Linked DNA regions of Lytechinus pictus. The main gene of each other region encodes a partner of the protein of the gene in region 2 in a complex. Links are inferred from orthologs where the notes say so. Each region holds a gene or a part of one and is shown on either strand. Other genes may lie near its edges. The genes, in order: tectonic-like complex member MKS1, transmembrane protein 17-like, transmembrane protein 107-like and meckelin-like.

What was found.
Region 1: transmembrane protein 17-like (region 2) and tectonic-like complex member MKS1 share a complex: the UniProt entries of both Homo sapiens proteins name them as parts of the tectonic-like complex. The link is inferred for Lytechinus pictus from reciprocal best matches to the Homo sapiens genes TMEM17 and MKS1.
Region 3: transmembrane protein 17-like (region 2) and transmembrane protein 107-like share a complex: the UniProt entries of both Homo sapiens proteins name them as parts of the tectonic-like complex. The link is inferred for Lytechinus pictus from reciprocal best matches to the Homo sapiens genes TMEM17 and TMEM107.
Region 4: transmembrane protein 17-like (region 2) and meckelin-like share a complex: the UniProt entries of both Homo sapiens proteins name them as parts of the tectonic-like complex. The link is inferred for Lytechinus pictus from reciprocal best matches to the Homo sapiens genes TMEM17 and TMEM67.

What each region holds. Positions count from the first base shown.
Region 1 is NC_087246.1:13,141,930-13,148,857, forward strand, and holds the start of tectonic-like complex member MKS1, read left to right. Parts: upstream 1-3,927; 5' UTR 3,928-4,012; intron 4,013-6,928. UniProt on the Homo sapiens protein: Component of the tectonic-like complex, a complex localized at the transition zone of primary cilia and acting as a barrier that prevents diffusion of transmembrane proteins between the cilia and plasma membranes.
Region 2 is NC_087246.1:15,643,874-15,651,612, forward strand, and holds the start of transmembrane protein 17-like, read left to right. Parts: upstream 1-4,716; 5' UTR 4,717-4,813; coding exon 4,814-4,913; intron 4,914-7,732; coding exon 7,733-7,739. Other genes in the region: 2-Hydroxyacid oxidase 1-like, read left to right, coding at 668-737, 1,445-1,503. UniProt on the Homo sapiens protein: Transmembrane component of the tectonic-like complex, a complex localized at the transition zone of primary cilia and acting as a barrier that prevents diffusion of transmembrane proteins between the cilia and plasma membranes.
Region 3 is NC_087258.1:18,218,330-18,226,210, forward strand, and holds the start of transmembrane protein 107-like, read left to right. Parts: upstream 1-4,874; 5' UTR 4,875-5,062; exon of another isoform or gene 5,063-5,210; intron 5,211-6,498; exon of another isoform or gene 6,499-6,501; 5' UTR 6,502-6,526; coding exon 6,527-6,610; intron 6,611-7,129; coding exon 7,130-7,197; intron 7,198-7,881. UniProt on the Homo sapiens protein: Plays a role in cilia formation and embryonic patterning. Requires for normal Sonic hedgehog (Shh) signaling in the neural tube and acts in combination with GLI2 and GLI3 to pattern ventral and intermediate neuronal cell types.
Region 4 is NC_087246.1:22,606,245-22,614,041, reverse strand, and holds the start of meckelin-like, read left to right. Parts: upstream 1-4,795; 5' UTR 4,796-4,805; coding exon 4,806-4,995; intron 4,996-7,797. Other genes in the region: peptide deformylase, mitochondrial-like, read left to right, coding at 792-952. UniProt on the Homo sapiens protein: Required for ciliary structure and function. Part of the tectonic-like complex which is required for tissue-specific ciliogenesis and may regulate ciliary membrane composition.

The DNA.
Region 1 (6,928 bases), about 2.5 Mb from region 2:
CCCAGAGTATTTAGTAGTGGTGGTGGTGGCGGTGGTGGTGTAGTAGTACGTATAGTAGTAGTAGTAGTATAGTATAGTAGTATAGTAGTAGTAGTAGTAGTAGAAGTAGTATAGTAATATTAGTAGTAGTAGTAGTAGTAGTAGTAGTAGTAGTAGTATGTAGTAATAGAAGTAGTAGTAGTAGTGGTAGTAGTAGTATAGTAGTAGTAGTAGTAGTAGTAGTAGTAGTATAGTAGTAGTAGTAGTAGTAGTAGTAGTATAGTAATATTAGTAGTAGTAGTAGTAGTAGTAGTATGTAGTAGTAGAAGTAGTAGTAGTAGTGGTAGTAGTAGTATAGTAGTAGTAGTAGTAGTAGTAGAAGTAGTAGTAGTAGTAGTAGTAGTAGTATAGTAATAGTTGGTGTAGTAGTAGTATAGTAGTAGTAGTAGTAGTAGTAGTAGTAGCAGTGGCGTACCTGGGATTTTTCACAGGGGGGGCAAAACCGTCCGCCAAAAAATTTGACAAGCAAAAAAAAAAAAAAAAAAAAAAAAAAAAAAGGTCTTCAATCACAAATGAAGGATTTCGTACCAGAAAAAAATTTGACAAGCAAAAAAAAAAAAAAAAAAAAAAAAAAAAAAAAAAAGGCTTCAAGCTCGTCAGGGGGGGGCAATAAAGGTCTTCAAGCTCGTCAGGGGGGGGCAGGGATACGTGTTTTGCATGGGTTGTGGCTCGTCAGGGGGGGGGGCAGACTGTCCCCTTTGCCCCCCCCCCCGTAGGTACGCTAGTGAGTAGTAGTAGTAGTAGTAGTAGTAGTAGTAGTAGTAGTAGTAGTAGTAGTAGTAGTAGTAGTAGTAGTTATATCAATACGTATAGTAGTATATTGATGAGGGATGATCCTCTCTCCCATTTCACAAATCCGGGAACCTTCACGTATTGCGATAAATGTTTCAAACATAACGTAACGTAACATAGGCGGGGGAGGCAGGGGGGCAAGCTCCCCCCCCCCCTGGCGGATTAAACCGGGGGAAAACGGGGAAAAGGAGAAAAGGGAGAAAGGGAAAGGGAAAGAAAGAAAAAGGGGAAAAAGGAAAGAGAAAGAGAAAGGGAGAAAGGAAAGAGAAAGAGAAAGGGAAAAAGTGAAAAGAAAGGGACAGAAAGAAAGAACATAAATAGAGAAAATGGAAGGAAAGCGGGCAAAGGAATGAAAGAACACTTAAGAAAGTACAAATTATCTTTTGATATTAAGACATTAGCATGATAAGCAAGAGAGGGATATAAAATGAAAGACATGACTCAATGGTACAGGCAAGAATGGCGGGAAAATGAGAGAAAGAGGCAAAAAGAAACGGGAAATGAAGGTAGAGCCCAAAGCTAAATTGATAAATCAGAATATGAAGAAAGTACAGGGGCCGCGGAACCGGGGGGGGGGGGCTGGGGGGGCTTCAGCCGCCCCCCCCCCCACTTTTTTCCAAAACCGTGTACAAAAACGTAAAAATTACCATATGATTGTGATTTTTAGCATGGTCAGCCCCCCCCCCCCCACTTTGAAAACCGTTCCACGGCCCCTGAGAAAAGAGACAAGAAAACAAGAAGAAAAGAACCTAATAACACGACCGGGCTGCCGAGGATTAAAAAATATAAAGAACGGGAAGAAAGGTGGTTGGCGTATATATAAGCTTGCTAAATTTTATGTAATAATGGTCGCAATCAGGACAAAATAGTCCTTAGCCAAGAGTTAGTTATATCCCCTATGTCGATAGTAAAGTTTTACGCCTGCTAGATTTACCGTACAAACTAGCCTTTCAATGTTTACTTTGGCTAAATTTTCAAAGCTATTATCACATAATTAGAATTTAATTTCAATTTTTTTTAATAAAACGCCAAAATTTTCTTGCTCGCTTCGCTCACTGGCAACTTTTTATCAATTTTACCACATTTGCTATGTTGTGCTGCCTCAAAATATTTCGTGTATCCGCAACTGTTATGAAGTACGCACGAGGTTTGATAATAAAGTAGCCATCAATGTTTAAAAATATCGCGAGGTTCCAGGGGCTCCGCCCCGGACCAGTGACGACACCAAGAGGGAGGCACGGGGGCATTTGCCCCCAACGAGTTGGCCCCCACTTGCCCCCCCCCCGAAATTTTGAAGAATAAAAAAAAGATGTGTAGTTAATGTTGTCATAAGCATCCCAATAAATCTGCAAAGTGCTCCAAAACAGCTTGTCGTTCTTTAAATCTTGAAAATGTTCTCATTCACTGTTAGCTCCCAACAATAATATGTCAACATAAATCTTTCAGTCACTATATAAAATTCAAAATTTCGCCCCCCCCCCCCGGATCCAACCATGGGAGATCCTTTTCATGATTTACAAAACATGAATAGTGTCCCGTTTTTAGGTCTAAATCTATTTTTTTCGGCTCGCGCTTCGCAATTATCAATTATTTACTTATATACTTCCTCTTCATGATTACAAAAAGTGCCTAGAATGTCCAGGTTTCAATTCAATATTTATCTACATTCTCCATAAAAACATGAAAAAAAAAACATACAAAAGATTCATAAGTAAAACATCGTCACAACCTACAAAAAACATTTATGAGAATTGAGAGGCCAACAAAAGAGAGCAGATATAGCCTTTAGGTCCGAATGACAAATTTTTTCAGCTCGCATTATTTGATTGTTGAAATATATATAATCTTCATGGGTAACTACAAACAGTCGATCCTTAACAGGTCCCTTTTCGATCATGCCAGAACGTGAATTATAAAAATCTGATCGTGCTTCGCGCTCGCAGTACACGCATCTGGTTCAGTATCACAAACATTGCTCAGAAAGTTCAATTTTTGAAATTTTCCCCAAAATTAGCTCGCGCTTCGCGCTCGGCTCCCACTATTTAATTAGGGCTTATGAGATTATTATATATTTATGTTGTTTTAGAAACGAACAAATTCAAATTTGTGCGGCCGATTGGGGTAAATAAAATATGGGTGAAATTTTATGCTCCCCCATTATTATGAGAACGACAATTCGCTGTGCTTCGTGACAGCTTATTGACCTTCATGAAGAAATATATTTTAAAGGACAGGGGCACCCCAACAAAAAGTTGAGTTTGATAAAAATTAAGGAAATTCTAACAAGCTTATGCCATTTTAAAGTTTCTCTTAATTTCATAACACAGTTATATGCACATCCTGTTTGGTATGCAAATAAGGGGAACGATGACGTCACCCAATCACTTTCTTTTATTATTATTATTATTATATGAAATTATGAGATATTCTAATTTTCTCTTCATTGTCCTGTGAAATTTTATTCCCGTTTTATTCTGATTGTTTTAAAATTATATGGTTTAGTAAAATTGGTCCCATAATGACAAATCTGCATGAATAAAAAAGAAATAAAAAGAGATCAAATAGTGAGTGATGGACATCGTCGACTCTCCTTTGCATATCGTGAGTTGTGCATGTTTTGTGGCAAGTGAAACTTTCAATGTCACAACTTTTCTTATTTCATTTTCGATATCGATTTTGATGAAATTTTCAGCGTTATGCTTGTTTCATTTTTCTATATTGATTAAAATCAACATCTTTTTGGTGGACCTGTCCTTTAACATGGAAATATCAATGATATAAACAAAAATATAAAAATAAGAAAATAAACATGACGAACTTTGATACAAAATATCATGCTGGAAATTAAATCATTTTGTTGAAAGCAGAGAAGACAGAAAAATTAACTGTATATCTTTTGACAGCTGACAGTGTATCTTGAGATAATCACTGAATTGGAAATATACCCAGCTCAGTGGACAAAATCATGAAAGTGATAAAAAAAAAAAAAAAAAGAAGCTAGAGCTCACTATACGATCTTCTGCTATGCTGCCACCATGCGGGCAAACTATTTGCATTACCTAGCCTCGGATCGGTCGCCGGATCATATCCGGATCGGAGCATTTGTATTACGTCCATGCATAAATGCTGGTCGAAGAAACATTTCTGATTAACTTGAAAAGGTCGAACAGCTAGCACGCAGGTAACGTTTTGATTAGAACTAGGCCTTTGGGGAATTTGACATTGTTACGATCGGTTAATTGGTTACTTGGAAATAGATAATTCGAGAGAATGGTCGAAATTAAGATATAATGGGCAGATAAGTGGAATTGGAATTATAGCCGGATAGGTCAATAATGCGTTGTCCCATACGTTAGTTTCGATGTGTGGTAAATCGAAAGGGTAATGATTTTGGCGTCTGCCTGGCTTTGACCACTCAAGCCAAGGCCCAATGGTTTATTATATGCCGCTATGCACGGGAAAATCAAGGCACGACGCATGCAACTCTCTCTCTTAGTGTGAGCTGATCCCTCCACTTGTCTTTGCAGATTCCTGGCTTGACTTGGCCACTCACACAACATGCGAGGTTAGTATACTATACTATTAGCACTCTAGGCGACACCCCAATACTTACCCGTGCTAATAAAGTGGGACTCCGCTCACGCGCGTTTGGGCCTCCCTAGCTTAGAACTAAGCAATATTATCTAGAAATCGTTACATTGTAGTAATTAAATATGTTCTATTAAATAAATTGATAATGTTTAATCGGTACTCACCGGTTCTTTTGTTGCATTTTCAGACCATTTCTCACAATTCTTCGTAAATATTTGCGGCAAATTTTGTCGCCATAGACAGCTTAGCATCCATCTTTATTGATAAATGGAGCGCCCTTTACGATAGTTGTTAATGCCGCGGAGAAATCGTTAGGCATTTTGGCCTGTGTTCAAGGCGTTCTTTCTGTTTTATTTTTAAATAGATTGTGCATTTGTTGAATAGCGCCGTCTACGTCAGGTATGAGATCGAGTGTATAAATACACTCTTCCAAAATAATTATGATTCCGACCTGGCGCTGTTTAACTTCAATCTCTTTCACCTAAATTAGCGATGAATGCTAGCATTATAAAATATATATTATTAACGTCTGACGAAAAGAATAACCAACCGATCAGCTGACGAGAACGCGAATCACGTGATCTTCATATCAGCTTCGATCGCGAGTCAGAAGAGAAGAGCAGTTGCCCAGAAAATCAGGAAAAAGCCGTGAAAATGTAAGTTCCCCTTCATTTCTTTCAATTTTTTTATTGCTAACAATGTATTCAATTAGTGAGATCGAAATGTAATGATTAGACAGTACGATAGCTTGTAGTTTTGATAAAATACAAAAATAATCATCTTCACAAAGATTTCTGACACAAAATACTACTGATGTCGCCTATGAGGTCCATACATGTAATGTTGGACCTCATTGGTACTAGGAGTGACTATTAGTAGGGCCTATTACTAACCTCGCACAACACATGTGATTTCATAGTGCATTTTGACGTTTTCATTCATCACACGAATGTGAGGGACTAAACTACGCCAAGCCTTTCAATATTTGTCCACTATCATTATTATGTTAATCTTGATCGTATGATTTAAGTATATTTGAAAAAGGAATTATAAATTATTTATTAAGGTGTTTTTATCGCTTACCTCCAAATCTCAACCAGGATACTTCGTTCGGTCCGTCCTTGGTCATCCTCATACTGCGGTGGAAATTACGCAAACAACAATCGAAATGCGAAATTTTCCTATCGAACATTCTCGATTCAAGTCGTAGGGGAGGGAGAAAGGAAAGAAAAGAAGGGAAAGGAAAAAGCGAGAAAGGGAATGGAGGGGGCGGGAAAGGAAAGGAGAGACAATGAAAGACAGATCAGGGGAGGGGGAAAGGTAAAGGAGAGAGAGGGAAAAGGAGACCATAAAATAGAAAGAAAACAAAAGAAAGGAAGAGGGGAAGGGAGAGGGAAAGAAAAATGGAAAGAGCGAGAAAAGAGTAGGGGAGGGAGAAAGGAAAGAAAAGAAGAGAAAGGAAAAAGCGAGAAAGGGAATGGAGGGGGCGGGAAAGGGAAGGAGAGACAAGAAAAGACAGATCAGGGGAGGGGGAAAGGTAAAGGAGAGAGAGGGAAAAGGAGACCATAAAATAGAAAGAAAACAAAAGAAAGGAAGAGGGGAAGGGAGAGGGAAAGAAAAATGGAAAGAGCGAGAAAAGAGTAGGGGAGGGAGAAAGGAAATAAAAGAAGGGAAAGGAAAAGGGAAGGGAAAGGGAGAGAAGAAAAGAAGGGAGAACGAAAATGGGGAAAGGGAGAAGGAGAGGGGATGATGAAGGGGATAGGAAAATGTCAAGTTTGAAGATCTGAATATTAACACTAAAAAAAATTAGACTCCCATGTTTTATTTATAAAAATACCATCTTTTTCATGATTATAAAGGTTCAACGTCCCTGTTCTAGGTCTAAACTTCAACATAAATCTACTGGCGCTTCGCGCTTGAATTCTGGAGGTCATTCCTCTTTTAAAAGTATAGGTAATCTGTCGGACTTTTCAAATCCCAAATTTAAATCTTAAGCGCAAATGCCCTTGCATTATTTTTCATTTAGATACAGTCCTGTCATCAATATCAAAAACTCTAAGCGCGAGCTTCGCGCTGGCATCATTTTTGTAAGTGACATTTATGATGTTGTTCATATTTTTAAAATGTCCATTTGTTGAGGTTTAAATGTCCAAAAGTTCAGCGCTCGCATAATTTGTAAGGTAAATAGGCCTACCCTTTTAATTGTTATACAAAGGCGCTTATACAATGTCCAGAATGCAGTTCGGAATATTGAAAATAACTATTGGTCCCGCTATTTCTGCCCGTGCGACAAGCATTTATCATTTTGAATCATGAGATTCACCTTTAAAATATGATGAAAAAGTATCGTTAAGACTGAATTAAGAAAAAAAGAAGCTCACGTTTCACGCTCGCATTTTGATCCGTTAGCTTGTGATAATAATGGTGACTTCGTTAATATATCTTAGCGGACATGTCCACCTTTTGGTGCTTCAAGAAAAATAAACACAACACACAAATAATAATA
Region 2 (7,739 bases):
TCTCTCGAATCATTCATACCATACGTGTTGCTAGATGTAGCCACTTATACTTGGACTCGCTAGGTACTGTATTCTATTCCGACGATAAGTACTTTATTCCAGTGGCGGATCCGGGTGTGCCCCCCCCCCCCATTGGCAGGGCCCTGGGAACGATTATTTTAGTGGGGGTTGTTAAGGGTGCTGATGTGAATTTGAAAAGCAAAAAAAAAAAAATCACTACTAAATGGAAGTCAAATTGGTCCCGAGACCCCCGCTTCGCGGCACCCCCGCTTCCCAGGGCCATGGCCCATTGAGAGCCATAATCAACATTTTTAAAGTAAATGTTCTTACACAAGTGTGCCCCCCCCCCCTTTGAAAGGTATATCTTTAATGGAAATACGCCGTTCATACGGACCGAAGTGAAGACATTTATTTTTATATATTTTTTTATTATTATGTTGCTCTTCAATTTTTTCTCGGGAAAATGTGCCCCCCTTTTGGATAATCCTGGATCCGCCCCTGCTTTATACCTTAAACTGAGATATACAGAGGAACATCTGATTAAAGTTACTACACATGTAGAAGTCATGAAATACTGCTCTAATTTCATGTTAAATCTATAACATAATTATTACGACTTGGTATAATTCCATTCATATAATTTTGCAATTCGTTACTTTATACGCAGGGTGCAGATGGAGTCAATAAGGTATTATCGATCTTACGGTTTGAATTGGACTCTGCTCTGGGCATTTCAGGTCAGTTTTACATTTCGCATTGTTAAGTCATTTAGTATGATGCAGGTTCATGGGGGTATTGTTTTTATATATTTATTCATTAATTTGTGTCATTAAAGAATATATACAATTATATTTTTGTATATAAAAATATACAAAAATGTTTCAGGAAAAAAGGTAAAAGGAAAACAGATTTGGTTGGAAGGCCCACCACTCTATTATCTTCCATGAGGTCCAAATGGAAATCGATCCAAGTGAATCGGTATGTGTGTGTGTGTGTGTGTAGTGTGTGTATGTGTGGAGGTGATGAGAATTTTTGCACACACTGAGAACAGTGGGCGCAGCCCCCTTACCCCCCCCCCAAAAAAAAAAAAAAAAAAAAAAGTGCAGTATTGATACGATTTCAGAGTAGGTCTAGTATGCATGCCATTCCGAAATCACAGAGTTGCAGCTCGGCTGGTCAGCCTACACTCCGGGCCTACACTGTAAAAGCTGTACGATGTATAAGAGGTACAAGATTTTCAAATACGAAGTTTGAGCTAAAAACAGTTTTTTAAATGACAACCGGTAATTACAGTATCATAGTGGGTGTCAAACTAACACCATATTAACCATTGATGTAAAATGCTTAGTGAGGTCCTCAAGTTGTGTGGGTTTAAAACCAAAGCTTGTGCGGTACTAATCAGATGTCTGTGTTTCACATATTGTATTTATTTTATATTTCACAGGTTGCACCAATGTCCAAGACATTCCGTCATCATTGATAGCTCGAAAATCTTACCTCTGAACACTGGCGTACCTAGGATTTTCCAGAAGGGGAGGGGCAAATTTTCTGGAGGATATTTTGTCTGCGAAAAAATTTGACAAGCAAAAAAAAAAGGTCTTCAACCAAAAATAAAGGATTTCTTACCAGAAAAAAAATTTGACAAGCAAAAAAAAAAAAAAAGTCTTCAACCACAACCTGTATCAGTTGTGACTCGTCAGGGGGGCAGGGATACGTCCCCTGCATGAGTTGTGACTCGTCAGGGGGCAGTCTCCCCCTGCCCCCCCCCCCCTTAGGTACGCTAGTGCCTCTGAATGTCTGCCGAACTCGGCCTTCCACGGCTTAAGATCCCGACCACCATCAAGAATATCCTGGAAGAATGAATGATACAAAGCCCTTTAATTACCCATCCGCAGAATCGGAATCATTTAGTCAAGATTATTTGCAATATATATCCTTACTCCTCACACAATATAGGCACATTCTCAGGCAAATACACCCACATTCCAACATCATCGTCTCGCCAACACTCACCCACACAAAAACGCACACACTCATATACACACCGCACACACACACACACACACAAATTATTTAAATTTGTATTTTATTCATTTAATCACGGTTAAAAAGCCTGCTTCCAGCTAAAAGCTGCTTTTTCAACAAGGCCGTGAACAACTGAATGCAAATAAAACAAAAATGAAATTGACTTTACAAAATTGATCAAAGAAAAAAAATAATGCAAAAATAATATTAACAATAGAAAAATTGAAGTAAACAAAATTGAAAAGTTAAAGAAACGAAATAGTATACAAATTAATGTCAAATTCAAAATGAATAAAAGCGAAAATGACGGTAACTTAATACAGTTTGTCGGTCTATGTTTCTGAGAAGATATTCTCTTTATTTAAGTGTGATTCGGCTAAGTAAGTGGGCCTAGATTATTGACTGTGGTAAAAATTGACTGATTGATTGATCAACCTTTAAAATGTGATATACAGCCGTGACGATTATACAGGCTGAAAGGAAACGCTCAAACACACACCTCCACCTATCGTTTGAAGTCGAGTAAAAAGTCAATAAAAAGTAGAGTGCACTCTGACACTACAGTGTCCGCCATCGCGCCGCTTCATTTGGCAAAGGAATAAGAATATACCCTTAGATTTGGATTATTTTTTAATGATACTGATATATATATATATATATATATATATATATATATATATATATATATATATATATATATATATATGTATATATATAAAGGTAAATATATAAATGTAAAGGTAGACGGAAAAGCAATGAATTTTTTGAATGACTGTTTTCTGTTAATAATATTATACCCCTTCATGTGATGTAACAAGTTTGATCATACTGTACATATATATATGTTTGCATATATATATATATATATATATATATATATATATATATATATATATATGTTTGTATATATATATATATATATAGTTATAGTTATAGTTTTATATATATATATAGTTATACATATATATAGTTATATACACATATATATATACATTTATATATATATATATATAAATGTTTATATGATAATGCATCATTTATATAACTGCATTGTATTGTATATGTGTTTAATAGAAATTGGTTTGTAAGAGTGAATCAAAATTATTTGGCCTGCAATCCTGTACACTTTTAATCAATATGTAGGCCTATGCTCTATTTATCAATTTTTTAATGTTGGCTAATCTGAGTACTGAAGTGCTTTTATAGTTCTAATCTGCAAATTGTTTCTAATGACTTTTTACGGTCCTAAATACCGGAATTCTCTCAGCAATGACATTATAAATGCCGCTAGTTTGAATTGTTTTAAATGAAGCTAAAAAAAGAAAAAGCGATCGGTAGCCAGCTTTGTCTTCCTTCCTCCCCTCTTTTTTTTCTCTCTCTTTCTCTCTCCCTTTTTCTCCCTTTCCCCTCTTCCTCTTTTACCGACAACCTAAGCACCACCCTATCCTTTCGGTTTCTTTTCTTTCTTTCATTCTCCTTCCATCAACTCCATATTCCATTTACCAATCATCACATCAACTTTATTTATTCCCACCCCTCCTTCTCGTATGATACTCGTACTGATCTTTTATCCAATTCTTTAAGGGATCCACATTTAACAAGCCCTGCTTTTCAGTTGATACCTCCAATTCCTCAACTTTTATTCTATTAAAAAGTTATATTAAAATAGCCTTGCAGATGTTAAATCGAGATTGTTCTACATTTCGTTTTACCATCATGGTATATATCATATTATGATTATTGTTTATGGCTTACCGAAAACATTTATCTATTTCCCTTGTATTGATATATTGCTTATACATAGTATTCCCTTGTATTGATTTGTATGGATATTATTTCATATTTGTGTAATTTGTTGAGTCGAAATGAAATAAAGGAAACTTGAAGAAAAAGGTATTTGAATACTTCAAAATTATAAGTACTCTTTCCTTCTTGAAATAAATAGGTGAAAACAACATTACTTGCCAAATAGAGCAGAATTTCAGTCTTTTAAAAAACGAATTGCCTCTATTAATGTACATAACGTAATACGGTCCTATATTTTTTTTAAACATATTTTTAATCTGTTGCTGCGCTACAATAATCAATTTTTGCGATTTCTGATATATCTTTTTTTGTGATGAATTCTGTAAACATGCATAAAAACGGTCAGTTTTGAAAATCCAACAAGCGTCTCAATGTGAATCATTTATACACAGTAGGCCTAAGTGGCGTCGGTATACGAGTGGGGTGTGTGACACATTTTTTTTCTAAAATGCTGCCAACAAAGAAAAAAGAAAAAGAGTTGATGAAATGGAGAAAGGTGGCAGAATCGAAGTAACAGATGAAAATATAGAGGAAAAGAAAAAAAATGAAAATAAAAGGCGAAAGACGAAAAAATAGAAGAGATAAAATGAATTATTTTCGTTGCAGCTTTTCTCTCAGTATCTTATAGGATATAGGCCTACTTTCAAAAGTTTAAATTATTGACTTTTCTGTGGTCCTCATTCCTGCCTTAATATTCTCTAAACTGGTCTATTTTTCCTGTATTTTTTCGATATTAATTTAAATAGAAGTTGCCAGCGCTAGCATTTAGCTAAAGATAACGATTAAATTAACTGATTGTATATATAGGCCAAATAAAAATAAGTAAAAATGGAGAAACCGAAACAATTTGCGATTCGGTATTTATTCAATTAAGAGACACCTTACGCTTTAAAAACGAAACAAAATACCAACAACAACGAAAAGGTGTCCGGTCGGGTTAGCGTCGCGAATTCGAAGAAAAATTAAAATTCCCATAATAAACATGGCTGGTGATTATATGAGGCAGAAATTGACGTCGTTTACAGAAGCTGTATTTCCAACTCGAAATGCTGTAAAGCGCCAGCATCATATGCTAAAACCTGGTGAGCACAAGAAATAATTTTTAGAGCGAATTCGTTTATGTAGCCCCATACATTCGATTTGCTGTAGGTCTAGTGATAGATCTGCGGACGGTTTATTAATTTATCAATATCATGAACAATGATCAGTTCGTCTGTATGTAACGAACCTCGCATCACATTTTACTTTTAGTGTATATCAATAATCTAGGCTATATATCTGTCTTGTCTATGCTAACATAAGGTTTGGTCCCCCCAGTCTGTGCATACGTGTATCTGCGCAATTTTTTTAGGGGGATCCAGGGGGCCCGGGCCCCCCCCCCTATTGGCGGAGCAAAAAAAGGGGGAAAGAAAGAAAAAAAAGGGAAGAGAGGAGAATAAAGAAGGGGAAACATAAGAGGAGGAAGACGAGTAAATAAAATAAGATGAGGTGAAGACTTGAAAAATAATTTTTAAAAATATTTCATGTTTTCCTATTATAGGCCTAAATTTTTTGCTGGCGCTTCGTGCTCGTGCTCGCATTGTTTTTTAGGTGATTGACATATCTTGCTTAATATGGAGCTTAAAATATCAAATTTTGAAGTCAATATACAAATCACATTTCAGCTTGGAAAATGAACTTTCATTGTTTTTATTTGATTTACAAATTGATTTTTATAAAGTGCTCTGTAAAAATGTATGTTTTATGGTCTGAATATTAAAATTTTCTGCTCGCGTTGCGTGCTTGCAAATTCGTCAGGTGTACCTATTATTTTCCTGTATTCCATAAAGTTCTCAAACTATCCCTATTCAGGTCAGATAGCCATAACGTATCAGCTAGCGCTGCACGCTCACATTTTGATTGGTGAGTTATGTATTTCTCAATATTAATTCTATAACATATAATTCCCATTTCATGACAGTTTATCAAAAATTTTGGCTCGTGATTTGCGCTCGCATTGATTGTTGAAATATATTAACTCATGCATCTTATTCATAATTACAAAAGTGCATTAAATGTCCAGTTTTCAGGCCATAATATCAACAGATTTCTCACTCTCATTAGGCTTATTAGATTAATGAATAAGATATTGATTGAGTAATCAAATTGTCCCTTTTTTTCAGAATGGAATATCGACAAGTTTCATCTTGTGCTTAGGAAAAGAAATAGGAAGATAGTGATCATTTTCATATGACATAATGTCCTTAGAATGTCCTATATCAAAACTCAAAGTGATAATAATGAAACTTATCAGCTCTTTTTTAACTGTGATCCATATCCACCTCACAATTTTCCTATAAAGTGCTTGAAATACAGAGCTTAAATTGACTCTTTTTCAGATTGGAATATCGCCTTATTGATTTTCATGACAAAAAAGGGTATTTAGAATGCCCAGATTTTAGGCCAAAATCTTCTTCTCTATTTGAATCATTATCCAGTTTCAGATCACAATATCAAAAATTTTCTGCTCGCGCTTTACGCTCGCATTATAGGAAGATTTCCAATTACTCATCCTTTTCATAATTTAAAAAACTTGAATAGAGTGTCCCATTTTTAGGTGTAAATCTCGAATTTTTCCGCTCGTGCTTCAAGCTCGCATCAATTATTTAATTATATACTTATCCTTTTCACGATTACAAAAAGTGTGCTTAGAATTTCCATTCTTCAGGTAGAAATGTCAAAATTTCCAGCTCACGCTTATTTTCAGCTCACATTATTTAATTGTTGAAATATGTAACATCTTCATGGGTAACTGCAAGCAGCTGTTATTAAAAACATGATATTTTATCAGATCAAAAAGGATATTAAAAAATTCTGCTCGCGCTTTGTGCTCGCAGTAATTTAGTTAGATACACATCTCATTTAGGATCACAAACATTGCCCAGAATGTATAAATTTTAGTACAAAATACATAATTTTGAGCAGCCGATCGGGGAAAATGTGGCTGAAAAAAAATCTGCCCCCCCCCATTGGCAAAGGCTGGATCCGCCCCTGATCCAGGAGACACTGTCACTGTCATGAACTAACACTCTAGTCTCTACTCTAACGTTCGACAGAAGTCCGACTCAAGTCAAATTTCAGTTTCAAATCTACTAAAATTTCGCCCAGTCATGTTGTAGGTTCATGGTGCATGCACATGCTACGAGATCATCCTCATAATCATACATCAAATGCGCTAGGCCCTGTACCATTACCGAGCTAGCATCTGTGTAATTTGAATGCGGAATGTCTATCACAGAATTGTGATAACTGATAACCTCTTGTGCTTAGTAGAGTTTCTGTAGATCTACAAGACTACATCAAAAGTTGTTTTGCTGAACTAGGTTCTACATATGTTCATTTGCTCTTGGATGGTAGAAAAAATGTCTGAAATATTAAAATAATTTTTAAGAGTAAGAAAAGTGATTATTCCTGTATTAAGACTGAAAGAATAGCATACGGCGATAACTGTAATTCTGTGTGCTTCTGGAGAGTAAAAATAATTTGCTAATCTTTGTGACATGCAGTGGCGAATCTACAGGGTATGGGGGGTTAAATGCCCCCCCCCCCATAGGCAGGCTGCAAATAAAAAAAAAGGAATGACCTACTTTTTAAGCCAACTACTTTTTTGTGCTTTTCAAATTTTTTGGGATCAAAATGACTTTCATTTTGTAGTAAGTTGTAGTGAAACCCTTTTTGGGGGGCTTGTATTCTTGTCAAGTTTCTCAGTAAAACCATCCTTGGAAAAAGATAGATCTGCCCCTGTACATGTTTATGGACACATAAATAAATGAAATGAAATTGTGGGCATGCTTAGAGATAGATTTAAAAAGTAATTTATAATTTTTGCCCTAAATATCGATAATTTCTGTGTTTCTTGCAGGCAATGA
Region 3 (7,881 bases), on a different chromosome or scaffold from region 2:
TACTACACGTGATAATAATGAACACATCAAAATACAGAACCTGAAGAAAATGATAACAATTCAGTGAATCGGAAAAAAAACAAAAATACATATAAAGAACTAGAAAAAATATAATAAATAAGAATATAGCCCTGTCTCCCTTGGCTTTCACAAGCACCTTTCTCCCTCCCTCCGTCCCTCCATACCCTGGAGAAATAGAGAAACAATACAGATCAACGAAGCAAAGATGCAAGCAAGGAAAAAGCCGTCAGACTTTGTTTTCAATATACACGCTTTCTACGAAATGCAATAGAAACCGGGAAAGAAACCCGTGCATTCACGGTGTACAGACTCCGTACCCGCCCATGCCCATTACCGTGCATCGGCACTTGATTGAGACTCGCGCAGAGGCGAGAGCTAGAGATATGAATATTCATGAGCAGGTATTGATGTAATTTGGTCTCAAGGTGGCGCTCTTCATTTTTTATGTTAGTTTTAAAAATAAATAAAAAAAAGCTCACTCGGCAAATCTTCTCATCTTTATATATTTTTTTGAGAATAAAAACAGTTCTTTCTAGCCAATGCAATACATTGTATGGACTCAGAACTTGTTTATGAATATCGTGGAAAGCAAAGAGTGAAATTTAAAAGAAAGTTTTGAAATAAACCAATGACACAATTTACCTTTAAGTACAATATTTTTTTTTCTCACCTGTGATTCATGGTTCCATACATGTACGTTACCATTGTACAAACTGACAAGCATCCATGGCTCAGATGGATGAAGGTCAACGCACTTTACACGGTCAGACCGTGCTGAAAGCTTTCGCTGAAGGGGAAATATATACAGATATAATTATCATATACTGCTTTTATATACATGTCGTACTTATCACATTGTAACAAAGTCAGGAACGAACGAACAAACAGATTAGGAGTAGATAAAGGACTTTACGAAGTAGAAACAGAGATCTTTTTTGAGATATTGTTTCAAAACATGCAGTTATGTAATTGGTTTGCAGAGGGGTGTCAAAGACTTCATGTAATTTTCTTAAAGTTTACTGAAGTATGTGATCAATTTTCTTTGACTATGTCACACTCACATTTAACATGCATGGGGAAAAAAAAATTCCCCCAAAATAAGAAACCCAAATTGTACAAGAATAGCATTACTCATGATTGATAAGTCCAAATTTCATAAAATATTAATATTCTTTTAATTTAAAAAAATCCTCAAAAATCTTAAACCCTTGCTTGAAAAAATACATGATATTTTTATCACATAAAATATTCACATGTTTCACTAAAATTAGTAATTTATTACAGGTGCATAGTATACACTGATTTTGGCTTTCAATGATAAAGATATATTTTCAAAACATGCATTGTGTTACTGCAAAAAACAACAACAGAAAAAGGTGGAAATAGATTTCTTACCTTTATATCCAATCTAAGAGGCTGTCATGTGAATAAAAAAAAGGAATGAACATAATTATAAAATGTTTACAAATGCAAATTCCTGTAGGATACAGTGTACTAAAATGATAAGGCATGGGTCAAAATAAGAAGTTCTGATAAAAATTCTCATTTGAAAATAAGTGGTCTGTCTATCCCTGTTTGCAATCAAGAAAATGAATTTCTAATATCACAAAATGACCAAAGCCATTTGCACTTTGCAGCATCTAGTCAAAACTTAGAAATCTTTTGTGCAGCCTGGAACAATAACGAGCAAAAAACATTGCATCTCAAACATTATCTGAGGGTACACAAGATCAAGTGTAATTTAACACAGCAATCCATGGGTTAGAAAGCTTAGCGACTGATCATGGGGCTAATATCTAATTTTATGATTTATTCCATTGATTACTCGTAAAATCAGCCCCTTGATCAATCACTATCAAAGCTTTTTGTTACATACTGTACCGGGCCCTGAGCAGAGAAAGAGTCTTTTTGAAATTTTCATCAGAGATTAGTAAGAATAACACACAAGGTGGGAGTTCATAAAGCTGTTCGTAAGTTAAAGGTCAAGTCCACCCCACAAAAATGTTGATTTGAATAAATTGAGAAAAATCAAACTAGCATAATGCTGAAAATTTCATCAAAATCGGATGTCAAATAAGAAAGTTATGACATTTTAAAGTTTTGCTTACTTTTCACAAAACAGTGATATGCACAACTCAAATGGGACTGTCGATGATGTCCCTCACTCACTATTTCTTTTGTTTCTTATTGTTTGAATTATACAATATTTCATTATTTATAGATTTGACAATAAGGACCAACTTGACTAAATCATATAGTATTAAATAATGATAACTCCACATGTTCAGGGAGGAATTAATTGTTGTTTCACTTGACAATGAGAAGAAAGTTAGAATATTTCATACAATAAACTACAAAAGAAATAGTGAGTGGATGACGTCATCAGTCTCCTCATTTGCATACCGATCAGGATGTACATATGACTGTTTTGTGAAAATAAGCAAATTTTTAAAATGTCATAACTTTCTTATTTTACATCCGATTTTGATGAAATTTTCAGTGTTATGCTTGTTGTATTTTTTTCTCTTTTTATTCAAATCAACTTTTTGTTCAGGTGGAATAGTCCTCTAAGAGTGACTTTAAGAACGACTGGTGAAACTTTCTTACACTCTAAATAATCACCAATGAACATTTAATGGTCAATATCATTTACCACAAGAAAGGATCACCAGTCGTTCTTAAAGTCGCTCTTGACTGATGATCAGCTTTATGAAACGGCCCCCTGGGGGGCGTTTCACAAAGATTTAAGTATGACTTGAGTCGCACTTAAATGCCGACACGTACATGATATGCGATCTTATTGATAATAAATACGCAGTAGTGCGCGTCCTCATGACACGATATGGCCAATGCGGTCAAGTCTTTCATACCGTACGCAACTTGGTATTTAAGTGCGACTCTAAGTCATACTTAAAACTTTGTGAAACACCCCCCTGCTTGATAAAAATTTCAAAACCATCACAGAGCTTTATATAACTCGGGATCATGTTACTTGACAACAATGAAAGTAACCACTCTTGAAAGAAATAAGGATCTAAGTCTATGATATCTATCTCACACTAATCATCTGCAGTTCAAAGGACAGAACTAAACTGTTTTGTTACTTTGTCACAAGATTACTCAAAAAGTAAGAGTGAAATTAAATAGAGTAACACGCCCAAAATTCGACAAGTGCCGAGATTCGACATGGCAAACCTATTTCACAAGCCAGCACAGTCACAAAAACACACACCAAACACATTTTTATAAACATAGGCACTATCACTTGCCACCAAAAAGTCCTGATTTTAACAAAAAAAAATCCCCTTTAAAATGTCAAAAATTTCCCTTGAAATGCGGAATATTCACCATATATCCAGAGCATTTGGCGGCTTAGCTCAGATTTAAGAAGCGGGGTCGCCGAAAAATGTGTCAAAAATAAAGAAATCCTTGGTTCTGCTCCGAGTACGATAACTTTCTCGCAAATTTAGGATCGTATCTTCAAAATTTCCAATCAAAAAAGAAAAAGAAAGAAAAATTCAACGGCATTGAATTTGCACAGAATTCTTTGAAGTCAAGGCATGCTTGCAGGTCGCCTTCATTCGACAGGGGCCCCGATCGCAATGCGTGAGCGAATGACCGCTGCAACTTCTGGGTTGCACATCGCATGCGATGCGGCGCAATTCAGCGGCTCTCGCCTTGCATTTTTGAGCGCGCGATGCGCTATGTCGTACGAAGGGCAGGGGATGTCGAATCGAAACATGGCGATACATTTCAAGATTTTATGTATTATTCAGATGGAAATTGAAAATGAACATTGCAAATTTGCAATTAAAGATAGACAAATATATTTAACAAACATTGGTGCAAATATCATTTTGTGAAAAGAAATTTTAGAACAAAAAAAATTGCAGAAGAGCTTAACATGTCGAATCTTGGGCATAAAAGAAAATTGTGAATTCATGAAAATTGCCAACGGGCAACGTTACCAATTGCCAATGTTGAAACTGAACACCTTTTTGGCTTTCGTTAGGTCTAACTCTAACTTTACAATAAATAGTTACACTACTCTACAGTATGCAGTGTACTACAGGCTGCGTTTTTTTGTAAAATAATATTTATTCTGTTCTTGCTCAAGCCAACAATAATTCTTGCCCGGCACACTTTGCAAGAATTACTTAGGAGTTAGGGCATATCAAATTTCAATGAAACTTCATGAACTTTGCCTTAGTTTGGCACTAAATGACAAATGATTTTCTAGATCTAAAATTAATTCTAATCATTCCAAGTAATTTCTATTTCTAATAATGCAGTTTAAACTTTAATTTCACACCGGCCAAAACTTTCATAGAATATTAACAAATTTCATGTTTAATCTTCAGTCCAATTATAATGTCAATGACCTCTTCTTCTGCCTCAGCTCAGGCCTTCACAAATGATTGAAATGCACAAGCGGCTACCTGGCCCTACAATGTAGCTACGGCTACGTGCGTCTGCTTCAATGGGTACAGTGCCCGTCGTCTCCCCCAGCGGAACGGCCCATGCCATGGTAAGGATGAGGCTAGAAAAACTCCATAAGCATCGGCCATCTCCGCCGCGACGAAAAAAAAGACAAATCAACATCTTTTTACTCAATTATACTCCGTGTCCACACCCTCCATTCGTGAATAGTTTTACAAACACACAATTATCCACTTAAATAATGGAAAATTATTAAATAAAAGATAACAACTTACCATGGTATTTTCGATTTAAATTTATCAAACGTGGCACTTACACACAAGTTCCAACATCATCAATGGGAAACCGAAGCTCCGTGAACTTTGTCCGATCATTAACTTCCGGGAACGGTTTCTCAAACTCGTCCTAAATCTAGCTTCTGATATTATCGATAGAAACTCGCGTATGCAACCAACATAAGGTTGCGAACTTACACTTACAAATCTTTTGTGAAACAAATCCCTGCTCCTGTCGAAAAGTGTGAGCGTCCATGGTTTCACGATCCAGATTTGGATTCAAGCAGCTGAATAAAAGGGTCTAAATCCACTTGCAAACGCCCTAGGTAAGTATTTTAGATTTTTTTTTAGATTTGAGCCTTAATACAGTCATCACAGAAACATATCACTCGGGATAGAGACAGGGCCCCAGACTCAGAGGCTCAGCTTCCCAGCTTAGCCAGGGCAGGGTCAAGACGATTCGGAACGGGGAAGCTCCGCTGCTGTCACCGGCCAAACCGGCGGTGCGTGGACGAGCCTCTGGGTGATGGTCCTCTTATTATAAAGTCTTATTTGAATTTAACCCAGGGAGCTCCGGCCCGCACAGCGGGCCGGAGCCCAGGGGCTTACTGTGTATTTGACCATACTCACGGGACTAGCGTGATTTATGGTCTGAATAATAATATTTCTCCAAATGAATTGTGAAAACAGAAATTATGCACTTACCACGATTAATTTATATGGATGAAAGTCTAACGAGTGGCAGTTTCCTGACATCGAGGCACAGACTGGAACTTAAAAAAAACGAAAAGTTCTCTCCTTCTACCCCCGTCTCGATCGGCCATTTTTGTTATGAATCGTAACAAAATGGCCGATCGAGACTGGGGTAGAAGGAGAGAACTTTTCGTTTTTTTTGAAGTTCCAGTCTGTGCCGCGATGTCAGGAAACTGCCACTCGTTAGACCTTCATCCATATAATCGTGGTAAGTGCATAATTTCTGTTTTCACAATTCATTTGGAGAAATATTTAGACCATAAATCACGCTAGTCCCGTGAGTATGGTCAAATACACGGTAAGCCCCTGGGCTCCCGCCCGCACAGCGGGCGGGACTTCCCTGGGTTAATTTGAATTTGGCCCTGGCTGGCATTGCCAAGGCCAGGGCGTTTTGCAATTTCTTACTTTTAGCCATGGCTTGGCCTTGGCAAAACTATTTAATGTAATTTTTTACAATTTAATTTGATTTTGAGCCAAATTTCACCAGGCACAGCTTAAAATCACGTATTTGATTTGAGCTGAAAAAAGGCAAAAAAATTGAACGTTTGGAAATTTTTTCATGACATTGTGACGTCGTCTTGGTACTTGGTAGGATTCTTATTCCATAATTATTTATATTCCTTTTAATTTTGCTGTGTAACTGGTGTAGACGTGTAGTTCTCTGGTATCTGAAGATATTGTTTTTCTTGCTGTTGATTCTATCTTTGAAAATACTATTAGGGCTAAGTTAGATCTTTTACTTTCTAATTCTAACATTAGGATAATTTTATTGGGAGTTGATGGAAATAAATGAATAGATAATGAAATTAAATCTTTTACTTTAAGCTAAAGTTGTCTTTTTGGATTTTCTTTCTGCAGGCTCTCATTGTCATTTTCATACCATGCAAAGAATAAAATCAGCTCAGAATTTACTCTAGCAGTGAATATTCGTATATAAAGTATATAAAAACATTTTTGATGTTTTAAAATGTAATGTATGATTTCTTCTTTTATGTTCTTAATGATCCAGTAGAATTGGTGGATAGTCCTAAATCCTAATGGCTTTAACAAATCTGATCCCAGCCCGTTTCCTGTGCCTAATTGCTCATCTGGTTATCACTGTCACTCTCATATGGTCACGGGTAGGTAACAAAAATTCTTTTCCAGTTGAAACGAGATTAAGAACAACTGAGTAATTGTTCGCTTATTAATTGTTAACATTTTGTTGTTACTGATTACAGTGTTATTGGTAAAATGTAGCAGAAGTAAAGAACTAGAAGTGGTGTGGTGGTTGTGGTGGAGGAGGACTACAACGACTTTAACTTTGTGAAAGTACATGACGATATTGCAAAAATGAATTGATAGATTTCCCATATTGGATTGAAATTTTTAAGGAAATGTACAGGAAATAGAGTTTGAAATATACACATCACCTCATTGGTCAGGTTATACATGTGCATTACTTTGTTCATTTATGTGGAAAAAATGACTTAATCATACTTACATATACCTCTTTGTGAAAACCCCTCTGAAGAGTTTCCTATTATTTAAAGCAAGACAATCCATTTTCGTAAAAAAAACTTTGCTAAAAATGTCACAAGATATGAATGTTATCAATATTAAACAATTATATTATTTTCCTTTTTCAATTTTTTTTGTAGGATGCTAATGTACGAGCCTGCCTACCTGAAACCTACACAGATACAGAGTACAATTCAGTAGATGTGGCGTGAGTATTTTCATTTCCCTGTGTATATCTTATTAGTTGATCTTATTTTGCAGCCTCCCCCCCCCCTCCCCCGACACAGTCTTTTATCCTCTGATAATGCTCGTCTTGGTAAATAAAACAGATGAATGAATTATGAATATATTATGGCAGGTGATGAAAACAGCTTCATTTATTTCAGATTGGTAGTCATCAGATGAAAATAGATATTTTTATGTTGATACATTAAGCAGAGATGAAATTTCTATGTTGTGAACATAAATGAGCAGTTCCTTTTACTTATTGTGAGTAGAAAGAGTGAGTAAGTGTCTGTCACATCCTTCTACTCCTTTTCTCTCCCCTCCCCTCTCCTTCCTCATCCTTCTCTTCCTCTTCTTCCTCCTCCTCCTCTTCCTCCTCCTCCCCTGTTCATATTCTTCCTCCTCTTCTTCTTCCTCCTCCTCCCCCTGTTCCTATTCTTCATTCTCCCTCCTCCTCCTCCCCCTGTTCCTATTCTTCCTCCTCTTCTTCCTCCCCCTGTTCCTATTCTTCATCCTCTTCTTTCTCCTCCTCCTCTTCTTCCTCCTCCACCTCCTCCTCCTCCTCCCCCCTGTTCTTATTCTTCATCCTCTTCTTTCTCCTCCTCCTCCCCCTGTTCCTCCTCTTCCTCCTCCTCCTCCCCTTCCTCCTTTCCTGTTCATATTCTTC
Region 4 (7,797 bases), about 7.0 Mb from region 2:
TTGAGCATAAGTCTCTGACTATCACATTCAAATGTCTCAATGATCAAGCTCCATTATACCTGTCAGACCTCCTAACAGTTCACCAATCAATGTACAACACTCGGTCATCATCACATATCCCTCTTCACATCCCCCGAACAAATCAGTAGGTGATAGGTCTTTTTCTGTGTTTGCCCCCAAATATTGGAATAGATTACCCCATAAACTTAGACAATGTTCTTCTATTGATGTGTTTAAGAAGATGCTTAAATCTCATTTGTTTTAACATGTTCAATATATTGCAAGTAATAATAAGAAGTAATTATTATTATTATTATGTATGTTTGTAATTCTATGATCCTGAATAAGCATCTATCACACACAGTTTCAATTTGTTAAATAATAGGAATATATCTTTGCTTTGGTTTGTTTTCATTTGGTCCAATGCCAATGATCTAGTTGCCAATTCCTCCCCTCACCATTTCGTCTAATGATCCATTGGTCCAATAGCTATTTAGTCCATATACCATTTGGTCTAATTAGACTAAGTATTAATTGGGCAAAATTAATGAAATTAAAACAAATATTAGACCAACGGGTTATGAGACGGAATGGTCATAGACGAACTGGTGATTAGATAAATTGATGATTAGACCAAATGGTTGTTAGACGAAATATTGATGGGCGGAATGGCATTTGACTAAATGAAGGTAGACCATTTGGTGAGTGCATGAGTTGATGAATTGGCAATTTACCCTTTGTTTGTATGGATAATACTACTAGTAATAGTTTCCTTTCATTTTGAAATGCAGGTCTAAATGAGAAAGCAGAGCCAGTTACTTGGCGTGTCAGTGGGTACCCAGCAAGGATCATACAGCATGAATATGATCATCTTCAGGGAACTTTATACATTGATCGCATGGACACCCGGACATTTGCTGATCTACAATGGCCTAAATGGAATGAGAAGTGAATTCAGAAATGATCAGTCAGTCAACCTCTGAAGTAGTATATGAGCTTTTGCGCTCGATCTGCCAGTCGATTGTCGGGTATCTGCTTTTGAAAGAAACCCCCAGCCTGCCGAAACTTACATACCTGTTCAGTACAAGAGTCCTTCACCGAATGTGATTCAAAGAATTGACCCGTAGCTGTTGGAGACTGAGCACACATATATATGCATGCTTGAGATTTATAAAAATTTCAAAGATTTCATTTCAGTCAGTCTCTTATTGGTTAAATTGATTGTGTATTTTGAATTGATACAAACTTCCTTTCTTGCATTGACATTAATTACCCAATTACATCACTTTATTTCCAATTTGTCGAATGCCACTTCTTCCAATTGCCAACTCGTCTACTACCATTTGGTCTACCATTTCGTCCACTGACCACATGGTGTACTTTCATTTAGTCCAATGCCATTCCGTCGAATAACGAGTTGGTCCAATAGCCATTTTGTCCATATACCATTTGGTCTTTATTAAACTAAAATGTTAATTGTGCAAAGTGAATGAAAAGAAAATGGGTATTAGACCAACTGGTTATTAGACGAAATGGTAATAGACGAACTGGTGATTAGACTAAGTGATGATTGGACCAAATGGTTATTGGACCAAATGGTTGTTAGACGAAATGTTGATGGACGGAATGGCATTAGACTAAATGAAGGCAGACCATGTGGTAAGTGGATGAGTTGGCAGTGGACGAATTGGCAATTTACCATTACATCTAACTGTTGGTTGCAGTGTACCGGTACATATTCTTGCTTCATTTGCCATCCTCCTTTCGATGGGCTATTTGGCTATTTTTATAATCATGTCCAATAACTTATTGAATTCCTCATTTGAACTTTGCATATTCTGCATTTGTGGTGGAAATACACATAGTTCATGAGTCATATGAATTGATATGGAAAAAAGAAGCTCCTTCGCCTGTTCAGAAGATTTTCTACTATCTACATTTAACTGTGGTAGTTTTAGAATAAAGTGACCTAGTTATTTTATTTTTCTTACAGAAAATATGTTTAGTGTGAGATATTCTCTATACTGAATAAAAACATTTCTGAATGTATTATCATGAATTGTGAACTATGAAAGAGTGCAAATAATGTTTTATGCAAATTATCTCTGAAACTCAAGTACTAATGGATTTTTCTTGCCCCAAATTTTCCCCTTAAGTATAAACCAATCATAATCATGAATATGGAGGATTTTATTCTGTAACAATGAAGTGTAATTTCATCTAAAGATAAATAAATCATCAACAAAATTGACATTCTTTGGTTCAATTGATCTTAATTTTTAAAAATGCCTTGGCAAGTTACATGTGTAGTATGCACGGGCAGAGCAACATGTTGTTGTTCTGCTAAACTTTGTATATCTTGTAATGCTTCTTTCAAGTACGTCTTTAATACGCACTGCCGTAGTAAGTTATTTGACTTGTTGCATAACCCTCTGAATAATTGCACATGTACACAATCCTTTTTAAACCATCCAATTCATCCCTTTAAAGGGGTACTCCGGGCTGAAAATATATCGAAATAAATAGAGTAAAATTCACAGAGCAAAATGTTGAAAAATTCATCAAAATCGGATAACAAATAACAAAGTTATTGAATTTTAAAGTTTAGCAATATTTTGTAAAAAAAAGTTACATACATCATCATGAATATTCATTAGGTGGGCTGATGATGTCACATCCCCACTTTCCTTTTGTTATTACATGAAATCATAATTGTTTCATTTTTCACACATGTGTGAACAATGTGTCTCCTTTATAATGAAATAAGTTGCAGCAATAAATTTCATTAAATCAGTTGTCAATCCAATTTTTTAAGTTCTTGGTAGAAAAAATTTGAAAAACCTAATTTCATATAATAAAATAAAAAAAAAAACAAGTGGGGATAATGACATCATCAATTTGCTCATTGAATATTCATGAAGACATGCCTAGAACTGTTTCACTGGAATAATGCAAATCTTTAAATTGCCATAACTTTGTTATTCATTGTCCGATTTTAACCAAATTTTCAGTGTTTTGTTTGTCTGATTTTTCTTTACCTGTTTGAATCATATAAATTTCAGCCTGGAGCATCCCTTTAAAATGTAAAGTGGTAGTAAGTAAAGGCATGCTCAAGGCTTTTCCATTTGCAATTTTCCACAGGAAAATGTTCCTTATGTTTTTTTTATTGGTTGAAAATTTCAAAGACAATTTTTTTTGGTTTATAGTGGATATGTTGAAAAATATTCATATACAACAATGGTCCTAATTAATGGTCATTACCGTCTTTGTGATTGATTTGCAAACATTGTGGTAATGATGCCCTGATCTACTCCGATCAGACACTTCTCCAATTAACAACAATTGTCCCATTGAAAAAGTCAGACGAGAGGAAATACTTTACATCATTCTGATAGATATAATGACCCTTATTATATAATTTCCATTATCCTCTTTATTTCAGTGTCTTGTGTGATTTATGATAATGACACTGACATTATGTACTGTTGTCCAGTAAAGAAAGGTTGCTTGAAATACATTTCATTTTGCCTCATCAACTTTTGTTCATTTGTTCTGGCATTCCAGTTTTTTCATAATTAATGTAACTTAAAAAAAATATTATGAACAGTGGCGGACTGTGACCCAGAGGAGACAAAGCATTGGAGGGGCACAGTATTGTTCACAAAGAATACAGTGCCCCTCCAATCATTTGTCTCCTTGGGGTCACGGTCCGCCACTGATTATGAAGTAAAATACTAATTTGTTGCCAGATTTTACCACTGAATTTGAAAACATTGTGTGGTGATGATGCCTTCATCAGGCTTTACTCCGATTTGCAACAATTGTCCCATTGAAAAAGTCAGACGAGAGGAAATGCTTCACAAAATTTTGATAATTATAATGACTCTTGTTATATAATTTCCATTATTCTCTTGTTTAAGTGTATTGTGTGATTTATGATAATGACATTATGGCATTATGTACTGTTGTCCAGCAAAGAAAGATTGCTTGATTTTGCCTCATCAACTTTTGTTCATTTGTTCTGGCATACCAGTTTTTTCATAATTAATGTTATATAAAAAAAATATTATGAAATAAAATACTAATTGGTTGCCAAATTTTACCCCTGATTGAATGAAATGTATGAAATTATTCATTATTACGTAAAGCTCAACAATCATAATGTACATTTTTTTAAATAACATTGTTAACCTGTATCATGATATTTATCAAAGACAAGAATAATGATGATTGATGATGACGATAATGGCGGTAAGCTGGTGGTAAGGATGGTGAGGGTGATGATGAATATGATGATGATGATGGTAATGATGGTGTTGGTGATGATGATGATAATGATGATGGTAATTAAGGCTAATGATAATGAAACGTTAATCTATATTATGATATTGATATTGATAAAAGAGAAGAATAGTGATGTTTGATGATGATGATGGTGAGGCTAATTATAATAAAATGATCTAAATTATGATCGGATAAAAGAGAAGAATAGTGATGATGATTATGATGAAAATGAATGATGATGTCGATATCAAGGTGAGGAGAAAAAAAATGAGAAAAGGGGAAAAGAGGGAAGAAAGCACGAAGAAAAGTAACAAAAAGCGTAGCTTAGTAGTAAATTATGTTTTGCCCCCCCCCCCCCCAGCCCCACGATTCCAGCCCCACAATCCAGCCCCACAATCCAGCCCCCACAATCCAGCCCCACGATTCCAGGGCCAGACCGGCCTCGATTCCATAATGGGGTATGTCGGTCCAGTCATGCGGTCTCGCCGCCGCGCCTAGCCGGCCGGATCCTTGGAAACGTGATGCCAAAAATGTCGCCGATTAAAAGATTTGCGATATATTTTCTTCTCATTTTCTGGGTAATGGAGGTCAATTCAACCAATCCATTCCCTTACACGACCGTACAACAATGTATAGCTAATGGAGAATACTACAATATAGCAGAATTAAGATGTGATCCTTGTGGAGACAACCAAGAACCTACCGTTGATGGTAAGACTATTTGTTATACATTTGTGGACAGTCCGACATGTTCAATTAATTGCTGGTGTGATGCCTGATGGTGGTCCCCATTCCCCAAGACTTGGGCCAAGTCTGCGCACCTAATTTGAGTTAAGATTTAAGTTATGAACATGGATTTCTTTTTATTTCACAAAGTCTTTCAGTTAGTAATGTTCCTTATATTATTATGAGTAAGTGTAGGCCCTACCAAATATCTCATAAAAATTAAAGAAATATAGCCAGGAATTTGGATGAGTTGGAAAAACCACTCTAGGCGACACCCCAATACTTACCCGTGCTAATAAACTGGGACTCCACTCACGCGCGTTTGAGCCTCCCTAGCTTAGAACTAAGCACTAATATCACCTTAAAAACTAAATCTACAAGGTATGTATAATCTATTTACAACTTTAATAATGTTTAATCGGTACTCACCGGTTCTTTTGTTGCATTTTCAGACCATTTCTCACAATTCTTCGTAAATATTTGCGGCAAATTTTGTCGCCATAGACAGCTTAGCATCCATCTTTATTGATAAATGGAGCGCCCTTTACGATAGTTGTTAATGCCGCGGAGAAATCGTTAGGCATTTTGGCCTGTGTTCAAGGCGTTCTTTCTGTTTTATTTTTTATATTGAAGATTGTGCATTTGTTGAATAGCGCCGTCTACGTCAGGTATGAGATCGAGTGTATAAATACACTCTTCCAAAATAATTATGATTCCGACCTGGCGCTGTTTAACTTCAATCTCTTTCACCTAAATTAGCGATGAATGCTAGCATTATAAAATATATATTATTAACGTCTGACGAAAAGAATAACCAACCGATCAGCTGACGAGAACGCGAATCACGTGATCTTCATATCAGCTTCGATCGCGAGTCAGAAGAGAAGAGCAGCTGCCCAGAAAATCAGGAAAAAGCCGTGAAAATGTAAGTTCCCCTTCATTTCTTTCATTTTTTGTTGTTGCTAACGATGCATTTACACTATAAAATTATAATTTAAATAAGAGAAAGGAATATAGCTTGTACTTGTGATATAATATATAAATATCCTGTTCTCAGAGATTTCTAACCAAAAATACTACTGATGTCGCCTATGAGGTCCATACATGTAATGTTGGACCTCATTGGTACTAGGAGTGGGAAAAACCTCGGGCAGCTGGCAGTCATTCAGATTGATTATTGAAAAAAAATTGGCAGGGTCTACCCCATGTCTGCACACCCATTCACTTTGCACATGATTCAGGGATTTTTTATGAGAAAGGCTGCATTTTGAGAAATTTGAGGCTGTCCTGAAATTCATTATTTTTCCACCACAAGGGGGACTGCGCAGACAAGTTGGGGGACCTTATGTACGAATTACGATACGTTGTGTGACCCAATACGCTCTTGCGAGGTTAGCTAGATCTATACTAGACAGCTGGCAGCCGTCTGTTTCGAGGAGTTTTTTAACATTTTTGTTATTTTTTAAATTTCTCCTCATACACAGACGGCTCGCTATCGTGCAGCCACCATTAGGGGACTTACAATGCAAAATCCCCCCGTCGGGGCTCTTCAATTTTTGTCTTTAATGAATCAATTTTTTGAAAATTAACGCGACCGAAATGCAAATTAATATTCCCTCTTGGCATTGATTGCCAAAAACGGGGAAAATCAAGTTAAAAGGAACAAAAACAGTGACTTACCTCGGCTGTCGCGCAACTTCACTGCCCTGTTTTATCCGAACTTAATACACATAAACATATGGCCATTGAGTCCCCTGTATAGATCGCGCTAGAACTTCGGTCTCTGTATTTGGTGAGTGAAGCCAACGGAGTTCAGCTGAACAACCAACATAACAGAGACCGAAGCTTTTGGTCTAGATCTATACTAACTAACCTCGCACACCCAAACGCACCGTATGAATAGACAGCATAGTTGTAGCCTACATGTAGAGAGGGAGTTGAAGTAATTTTCATCCAATATTTGGAACTGTCTGATATTTGGGCCATTTAGTCTTTACTCTTTTTTTTTCAAACTAATTTTATCAATTTGTAGACTCATCAATTCATAGTTAAATCTACACAGTAATGGCCAGTTATTTTCTTCTTTTTAAATCTGAACTTAAATACCGATATGTAAGTGCAAAAAGTTTTGATATTCACTGCTTTTTATTTTGTCAGGGTTGCCAATTGAGCTTGCCTTTGCTTTGCCTTTTGATCAACTTTGGCTCATAGGTAGAACAGTGTGTACAGTTATGGTGCTTGTAATGCATTAGAGAATAGAATTCTAGTTTCTTTATCTTCTTTTTTGTCAACTTTTATCGGAGATCAGCATCAAAATGCTATATCATATTGTATCCATCCATCCAAATGAAGATGCCCAGAGGATGCAGAAAGGATACAGCCGACGTTAAATGGATGATAACGGACACGGAACTTTTGCTGCCAGTAAATGTTGCGGATTCGCATTGTACACGACGGAAAGTTCATTTGCTCGAAAAGTTTTGTGTAGCTCAAAATTTTTTGCTTGGATGAAATCTGGGTGGACGGATGCTCAATGGATAGAGCATATGAAACACCTATGCAATGAGTACACAGCGGATGCATAGCGTTTTCCAACGGATTGCAAGATTTTTTTACATCCTCTTTGCATATCTGTAAGTGCAGTGGGACACACTCATTCAATGAACAAGGTTATGATATAACCTTGTTCTCAGTTACATCTCCATGTGTGGCAAAATAAAGTTGGCAATGTTTGGCTTATTTTCTCTTTTCGTTGGGACAAATGCTTGATTTTTTTACACTGTCAGT